Linked DNA regions of Mus musculus. The protein of the gene in region 1 interacts with the protein of each later gene in a biochemical or structural test. Links are inferred from orthologs where the notes say so. Each region holds a gene or a part of one and is shown in the gene's direction. Other genes may lie near its edges.

Region 1 (4,160 bases):
GACCTTGAACTCCTGACCCCGTGCCCTTTAACGCTGTGATTTACAGGTCTGTGCCACCAGGCCCAGCAAATAACACATCACCGAAGGTCCTCGATGTCATGACTCTGAGTTCTTGGTGAACCAGAAGAGCCTTAGCTCACCATCAGTTGTCCTGTGCCTGAAACCGGTGGCCATTCTTTAGTCCAGGGATTCACTTGTTTCTTCAACTGACCTAATAATGTTCCTTATCTTCAAAATAATTGTAGGTGAGTTTGCAGAAAATTTAAAACGTCCCATGGTGGAAGAGGAGAGTCAAGCAAGAGCCTTGAGGTTATTATGAAGACTTCAACTTCTTTCCTGGGAGTTAGCAGCCACTCACTGGTGGGGTTTGAGCAGAGGGCTCTGATGGATACTGTGGAGACATGGGCTCTGAAAGGGTTCTCTAAAGTTAAAAAAATTTTTTAAAAATGGAAGCGATTGTAGAGTGTGGTGACTGAGGCCGGGGGATTGAACCAGGGCAAGGAGCCGAGTGGGGGACTCTAGAACCCAAGAAGAAAGTAGGAGGTCATAGACCGGAGAGAAATGGAGGTGGTAGCATCCCGAGTGGCGAGGAGAAAATGCTGTGAGGAAGGACAGACACACCAGAGAGGTGAGGTTTGCAACTCTCGGTTAGAATTGGGCGAGTGGATAGAGACATTGACAAGAGAGGTTTTGAGAGAGGCAGAGAAAGAAGCTTGACCCAAGTGGCCTCCAGAATGAAAGGATAGAAAAACTACTCCAAAAACAAAAACAAAACGGTCCCTGGAACCCAGCTGTATACCAGCTGGGGAGAGACAGAGGGATTTGGGGTAGGTGTGGATTCTGAATGAAATGAGGGTAAATGGCTGTATTACTTGTTCAAAATTAAAGGGATAACTGTAAGAGATGATGTAGTTACAAAAGTGGACAAAAGGCCACGCTTGGGATGAGGAGGTAGAGCCAAATTCCAGACCCTAAGTTTAGCTCAGCGCAGTGCCAGGATGAGTCGGTATGCGGGGAACCAGACACCTTGTCCCGGGAGCCAGGCCTTTGCCCCTGTAGGGCAGGGTCAGCCTAGGTCAGCTACTGGGAGTGGAGCCCAGCTGGCCTTGCGCGCTCACCTGTCCCCGACAGTTCCCTACTGCTGACTGGGCCATACTGGGCGGCCTAGAAAGGCGGTGGAAGGGGGGTCGACAAAAGGGAGATCGGGGCTAGGGTGGTGGCTTTGGGAACCCAGAGAAAGGGCAGCACCTGCCTCCATTCTCAGCTGGGTGCACCCTCGGCTCACGTCTCAGCTTGCCCGCTGCCGGCCCCGCCCCTCCTCGCCCAGTGGGTACTCGGAGCTCAGCCCAGCTTGGACAGTAGCATCCAGGGACCTCCCCAAAGCCACAAGACTCGAATGTACTAAGGACACGGATGGCGACTGTGGGGCCGCGGACCGGGCCGAACGCAGGAGCCGAGGCGCTGGCCCTAGCGGCAGAGCTCCAAGGCGAGGCGACGTGCTCCATCTGCCTAGAGTTTTTCCGGGAGCCGGTGTCAGTCGAATGCGGCCACAGCTTCTGCCGAGCCTGTATTATGCGCTGCTGGGAGCGTCCCGGAGCTGGGACCGGCACGGCGACCCGCACGCTGCCCTGCCCACTGCCCTGTCCTCAGTGCCGCGAGCCCGCGCGCCCCAGCCAGCTGCGACCCAATCGACAGCTGGCCGCGGTGGCCTCGCTCCTTCGGCGCTTCAGCCTGCCCCCCACCGCCCCCGGGGAGCGCGGGACTCCAGCGGTGCCTGCCCGGGCGGCGGCTGCGCGGTGCTCCCAACACGGAGAGCAACTTAAGCTCTACTGCCAAGACGACGGCCGCGCCATTTGCGTGGTGTGCGACCGCGCCCGCGAGCACCGTTCGCACGCCGTGCTGCCGCTGGAGGAGGCGGTGCAGGAGGCCAAGGTGGGTGCAGGATGTCCCGGAGCCCTGGCTCTGCTCCAGCCCTCCCAGCTCTCCTTGCGGACTGCAGGCAGGGTCCTACAGAAAAGCCCCGGTCTCCTTTTTCTCTTTCTAAAACTGTTTTCCCCTCATCTCTTCTCGTCCCTCAGAGCCCGATGCCTGGAGGCCTGGAAGATGGCCCCAGGGACTTGAAATCTTGTCTGTCCCCAACCGCTAATGTAACTCTGCCCAGGAGAAATTCTGTTTGTCACGCCCACATATCCACTGCCACACTCCTACTGCGTTCCCAGGGGCGTGGCACTACACAAAGTACCAAGTTCAAAGAGGAAGAACACAGAATAGCGTCCTGGGTTAGGTGGTCTGTCTGAAGGGCTGTGAAGCCCATTGGTTCTGGGCATCTTCCCTTTTAGTCTGTCCCTCGATAGGCTGCGGCACAAGAGGCGTGTGCAGCTCCCAGTCTCTGCTGCCCTGTTGTGCTCCAGCCTTCCTACAGGATGAGAGGAGAGCTGAAGATAAGATAGACCGAACCAAGGTGGGAGTCTCGATTCTCACCGCAGACCACGTGATTGATGCCCTTGAGGAAGTGAGACTCCCGGACCTTTGGAGTTCCCCTGCATTTGTTCTGCACCAATAGGCTTAGTCTGCAAGTCTCTGTTCACCCCATAGCCAGAGATGGTATCTATCCAGTCTCCTGCTCCTGAGAGCAGAATCTTGGCTTTCTCCTGGATGGTTCTAGGAAAGTACACGAGAGGGTATCCAGAATTTTCTGACCACGTGTCTTCCTTCTACCACAGGAGTTGCTGGATTCCAGGCTGAGGGCCTTGAAGAAGGTACTGGAAGACTATGAAGCGTTCCGGTCAACAGAGGAGAGGGAGAGCAAGGAGCTTCTAGTGAGTCCAAGTGTGAGAAGCATAGGGTTGTGGATGACCAAGGCAGAGAGAGAGAGAGAGAGAGAGAGAGAGAGAGAGAGAGAGAGAGAGAGAGAGAGAATATGGTTGAAACAGTAGGGTGGATTTCAGAAAGACAATATGGTATACATTACAGAGGTTGACTATATAATTTATAATATAAACTAGAGCTGTTCAATTCATCTTTAGGGTGCACAGTCATTCGTAACAAACCAGTTAGGACCTGTAGCAGCATCTTGTAATTTGAATGCATTAGCATTTCTTCACAGAAACACGTCATATTAAGTAGGAACATACGGTGAGGAGCCACACATGCCTGAGGCATGTTCTGCCACAGGAGGAAAAAAAACAGTGAGGAAAACGTTTTGTTTTCTGAGCTTTAATTTAAGAATTAGAGGTTTCTGGCTGGGCAGTGGGGGCACATTCCTTTAATCCCAGCACATTGAGTCAAGGCCGGCAGATCACTGTGAGTTCGAGGCCAGCCTGGTCTTCAGCATGAGTTCCAGGATAGCAAAACTGCACAGAGAAGCCCTTTGTGCTGATGCTGAGGAGGGATCAGAGCTGTTCCTGGCAGAGCACTGTGGCTTGGGGACTTGTTTTGGTTACTATGGACAAACACGAGTCACTATCATTTTCTACCTCACAAATTCAGTTCTTGGCTCAAAGGTGCCTGAGAATGAAAGGAGGAACCACGAGTGCCTTTTAAGGCAAGGTCATTTGTTTATGAAACTGGGATCAGAGGGGAGGCCTGGAGGGACCCTCTTATGCTTTAAAAAATTATCTATTTACCTATCTATTTATTTGTGTTTCTATAGTTGGGTGCATGGGCTACTGTCTGCCTGTAAAGGTCAGAGGGCAACTTTGTGTCAGTTCCTGTCTTCTACCTTAAGGTAAATTCTAGGGATTGAACTGGGGTTGCCAGGCTTATGAGCCAAACAGCTTTACCTGTTGAGATATTTATTTCACCAGCCCTAAGCCCTTAGGTTAGGAAGGGAAGCCCATGAAACTCAGATACACAGGCTCCTTTCTGGGCCCTATGTGGTTGCTATTATTGTTCTGTTTTGTTTGAGACAAGGTATCTCTCTATAGCCCAGGCTACCCTGAAACTTGCTACATAGACCAGGCTGGCCTCAGACCTACAGAGATCCACCTGCTTCTGCCTCCTTAGTGCTGGATTGAAGCTGTGTGCCACCATGCCTGGCCCTCCCCTTATCCTTAACTGCTTTTATATCTGTAGCTATTGGACATCCCAGACTTTTACATCTGACCATTCATTTCCTAAAGCAGAGTTCACCCATCCAGACCTTTGTTCCACCTCTTTGG
Region 2 (4,262 bases), about 10 Mb from region 1:
ACAATTTAAGGACACTCCAATCCCTCAGATAAAATGTTTCTCTTACACACATCACATCTCTCTCTCTCTCTCTTACACACACACACACACATACACAATTCTCTTTCACTCACAGACACAGACACACAGACACACACTTTTATTTATTTATTTATTTATTTATTTATTTATTTATTTATTTATTTTTGAGACAGGGTCTTACTATATAGCTTTGATTGGCCTGAAACTCACTGTGTAGACAAACTGGCCTGGAACTCACTGAGAACTGCCAGCTCTAATTCCTAAGTGCTGTGATTAAAAGCATGTATCATTATACCCAGCTAAAACATCATAATATTTACATGCATCTTTCTATGTAATATTTTTTTCCTAGATGACTTATGATACTTAACAGGATGTGAATACTGTGCAAATCTTCATTCTATTGTCTAGGAAATAATGACCAGAAAAGGGCTGTATAGCTTTAGTACAGATGTGGCTGCTGCCATAGTGTTTGGAGCATATAAATGGCAACATCACTGTCTTAGTTAGGGTTTCATTACTGTGAAGAGACACCATGACCAGTGTAACTCTTATAAAGAACATTTAACTGGGGCTGGCTTACATGTTTAGAGGTTCAGTCCATTATCAAGGCAGGAAGCATGACAGCATCCAGGCAGACAAGGCTCTGGAGAAGGAACTGAGAGTTCTACATCCTGATCCAAGGCAGTCAAAAGACTGTTTCCCGCAGCTAAGAGTGAGGTCTCAAAGCCCACGGCCACAGTGACACACTTCCTCTAACAAGACCACACCTCCTAATAGTGCCACTCCCTGGGCCAAGCATATTCAAACCACCACAGTCACATTTACAGTTATATCCGCAATCTCAGTCTGAAGAGTCACACATTGCAGATAGCTGACTACAGCTGTATTAACACAATATTCTTTAGAGTGCTTTCCTGCAAAACGTGCTGCTGTTCTGTGTGCACAGTGAGACTCCCTGACTTCATTTTATGTCGCTATCTTAATTTGGTCATACTCCTGGTTGACTACACAGGCATCTGCCTACCTAGCCAGTTTTATCCTGCTTCAGGGCTGAAGGTATAGCGATAAGTCACCCTGGAAAAGCCTTTCCTGACAGACCACCTCCCAAATTATCTGTGGGAGATGGGCAATTATTCATGATGTTGGGGCAGTACCCTGCAGGATGAGTAATCTTATAGGACACAGGGAGTATCTTTGTAAGGATCTGGGTTTGGAGCCCGCGACTGACACCATCAGGACAAAGGTCGTGAGCTGCTACGGGAACCAGTGTGGAAGAGAGCTCAGCTGCTCAATCATGGGCAGGGCGATGAGCGAATACCAGAACCTGAAATGAGAGCGCACAGCTGCAAGGACCTGGATGGAGGAATGCGCAGCTGCCAGGACCTGGACGTCAGAGCGCACGGCAGCCAGGACCCCGCCCCGCGCGCGCGCGTGCCCGGCGTTGGCGCAGTCTGGGTCTGAGTCGTAGGCTGAGGCTCGTCGGCCTTGATCTCCGGCCGGTCCTCGGCCCTTCTGCGCCCTCTCCGCCCGCGCCCTCGTCGGCGCCGCCGCCCGCAGCCCTGGCGCTCCCCGCGGGCCCAGCTGATGCCATCTGCGCCCTGTGTCAGCGCGCGCCCCGCGAACCGGTGCGCGCCGACTGCGGCCACCGTTTCTGCCGGGCGTGCGTGGTGCGCTTCTGGGCCGAGGAGGACGGGCCCTTCCCGTGCCCGGAGTGTGCCGATGACTGCTGGCAGCGCGCCGTAGAGCCCAGCCGCCCTCCGCTCAGCCGCCGCCTCCTGGCTCTCGAGGAGGCGGCCGCGGCGCCGGCGCGCGATGGCCCTGCCAGCGAGGCCGCGCTGCAGCTGCTCTGTCGCGCCGACGGGGATCCGCTGTGCTCCGCCTGCCGCATGGCCGCTGGCCCGGAGCCGCCGGAGTGGGAACCGCGCTGGAGGAAGGCCCTGCGCGGCAAGGTGCGCGAGGGGCCCCTGCACACTGTCCACCTTTGTGGCTTACCTGGAGTCAGGCATTCGATCAGTGTGCTGACCTCCTCTTCCCTCTCCCGCATCCCATGGGTGCCCAGCACCCTCCCTTCCCCGGGGACCCTGCCATGCTAGGGGCTCTTGGATCCTGGAGTCCGTGATTCTGCCTTCCTTCATCTCTATTATCTGTCTCCCGGACCCTGCTATGTCCCTCGAGCTATTATCTCTAGCGCATGCTCCTCCGTCCCCCTTTCATCCCAGGTCTCTGGCCTAGCTGTGCCTTATCTCTATACAACCTTAAGACTTCTATTTTTCTCGAATTCCCCTCAAGTCCCGATCCCATTCCTCAAGGCCTCTTGCTCCTATCCCGGTGTGATTTCATCGGTGCAAGCCCCGCCCATCCACTTGCTTATGGAGACCTGAGAGTGGTCTTTGGTCTACCAGTTACCATTTGCAGCCCTCTGAGGGGCTGTCGGTCCACCTCATTCAGGAACCTTCTCTGCTATACTCTCTTGGTCATTGCACGTAGCACCTGCCACCGGGCAGAAACCGACTATTAGACTCTGTGTGAAGATGGGTTGCAGGGATCTAGATAGAGTATCATCCCTGACCCAGAGAGAGATGTCTGAATAGCCAGGTAGGAAAGCCGTGGTCTCCGCCCGACAGGAGAGAAAATCGTAGCTTAGCGTGTTTGAGGGTGCTGTTATCCTTATGTTCTGCAATGATGCACCATGAGCCTCTGGAATAAGTTGTGAAGAACACTTTTGAGGTGGAGGCCTGTGGTTACATCCAGGTCCCAAACTGAGGTAGATACACTCTGTCAGAACATACTGCTGGGGTTGTCCTATGGTTTGTCGTCCCCTTACTAAGACAGCAATCTCCACAAAGACCAAGCAGGACACAGAGAAGTCAGGAAAGTCACTGTCTTAAATCAAGCTGACACTAAAGGGGACCTACCTAAAATCCTGGAATCACACAGCTGACCTTGAATTGCCTGCTGTACACCTAGTTCTGAAGAGGTAGAAGCACAGGAGACCCTTTTACGAAACAACCACTTTCCAGCAGAGACCGGACGAGTAGTTCCAGTCGCCAGACTGCTGATCGGGGTGTTCAAATCCTTCTTCCCAGGCTCTAACCAGCTTCTCTCTCCCAGGAGAACAAGGGCTCTGTGGAAATCATGAGGAAGGACTTAAATGATGCCCGGGACCTGCATGGTCAGGCAGAATCAGCGGCTGCTGTGTGGAAGGTAAGTGGGCTCTCCTGGATATGGGGAGCTAGCAGGGCAACCAAGCTGAGCTGCTGGAGTTTGGCTGGCTGGACTTGGTGAGTTGAGTGTCCGTAGGGCTCCTCTCTTCGGTGTGCTTTATATAAGGATGATTTGTGAGCTTCAGGTTCCTTTTCTACACAGGACACTTTCTAGTACTCTTGATTCTGACCAACCCCAGCTGTTACCAGTAGAACATTCTGTTTTCTGGCTGCCACACAATACCACACACATGATTGCCCTGGAGGCTGGAAGTCCAACAGGCAAGCCATGGCAAGTCCAAGTTGGGGCTAGCTTCCGGTGGCCTTTCTCACTGTGTTGGCACATGGAGAGTGGGGAGGGGGCTCTTTGGGAGTCCCTTTTACTAGAGCACTGATCCCATGTCTCTTTGGTGGGACTAACCACATCCCAAAGGCCCACCACTTAACACCATTGCCTGGAGGTTTCAGCACAGAGATTTGGGGACACAAGATTTGGTACTTAGCTAGCCTTCACCTGATACCACCCATGGCATTAAACACCAAGATGACATTATGTTACAGTTTGTTTGTTTGTTTGTTTTGTTTTTAGGTTACTTGTCAACAAAACCACACATTAGTTTAAACCCTGCAAACTTTTCCTTTTATATATTAAAATTCATTATAGTTCCCTGCCCATTTTTTTTAAAACATAAAACCAAAGTGTTTTTGTAGACTACAGAAACCCTGAAGCCCTCAGATGGTCTGCGCCGTAAGGCTGAAGGCACCTGCTCTACCTTTCACAAAAATTGGAAGACATTGAGGACACCTAGTTTTCTACAAGCCCACAGCAGTTCCAAGGATAGGTTCTAGAAGATTTAAATACGAAGATGGGGGTCCGGTCAGAGGGAGGAGCTTGGCCAGACAGCTGTTATCTGGCTGGCATTTATGTCCTTTCAGCAAAAACATTCTTCCTTCAGGAACATGGGTGTCCCCTGTGCTATGTGACCCAGGGCCAGGACGAAGATCTGAGTGCAGTTAGGAGTGTCTGTTTCCAAT

What was found. The genes of interacting proteins can lie anywhere in the genome.
Region 2: the proteins of Trim7 (region 1) and Rnf187 interact in a test that uses a peptide from one of them, tested with the Homo sapiens proteins (2 studies listed by BioGRID, with this or other methods). The link is inferred for Mus musculus from reciprocal best matches to the Homo sapiens genes TRIM7 and RNF187.

The regions. Positions count from the first base shown.
Region 1 is NC_000077.6:48,836,114-48,840,273, forward strand, and holds the start of Trim7 (E3 ubiquitin-protein ligase TRIM7), read left to right. Parts: upstream 1-1,357; 5' UTR 1,358-1,413; coding exon 1,414-1,932; intron 1,933-2,251; exon of another isoform or gene 2,252-2,512; intron 2,513-2,547; exon of another isoform or gene 2,548-2,601; coding exon of another isoform or gene 2,602-2,604; intron 2,605-2,723; coding exon 2,724-2,819; intron 2,820-3,652; coding exon of another isoform or gene 3,653-3,682; exon of another isoform or gene 3,683-3,727; intron 3,728-4,121; coding exon of another isoform or gene 4,122-4,160. UniProt on the Homo sapiens protein: E3 ubiquitin-protein ligase that have both tumor-promoting and tumor-suppressing activities and functions in several biological processes including innate immunity, regulation of ferroptosis as well as cell proliferation and migration.
Region 2 is NC_000077.6:58,936,106-58,940,367, reverse strand, and holds the start of Rnf187 (E3 ubiquitin-protein ligase RNF187), read left to right. Parts: upstream 1-1,461; 5' UTR 1,462-1,583; coding exon 1,584-1,973; intron 1,974-3,135; coding exon 3,136-3,228; intron 3,229-4,262.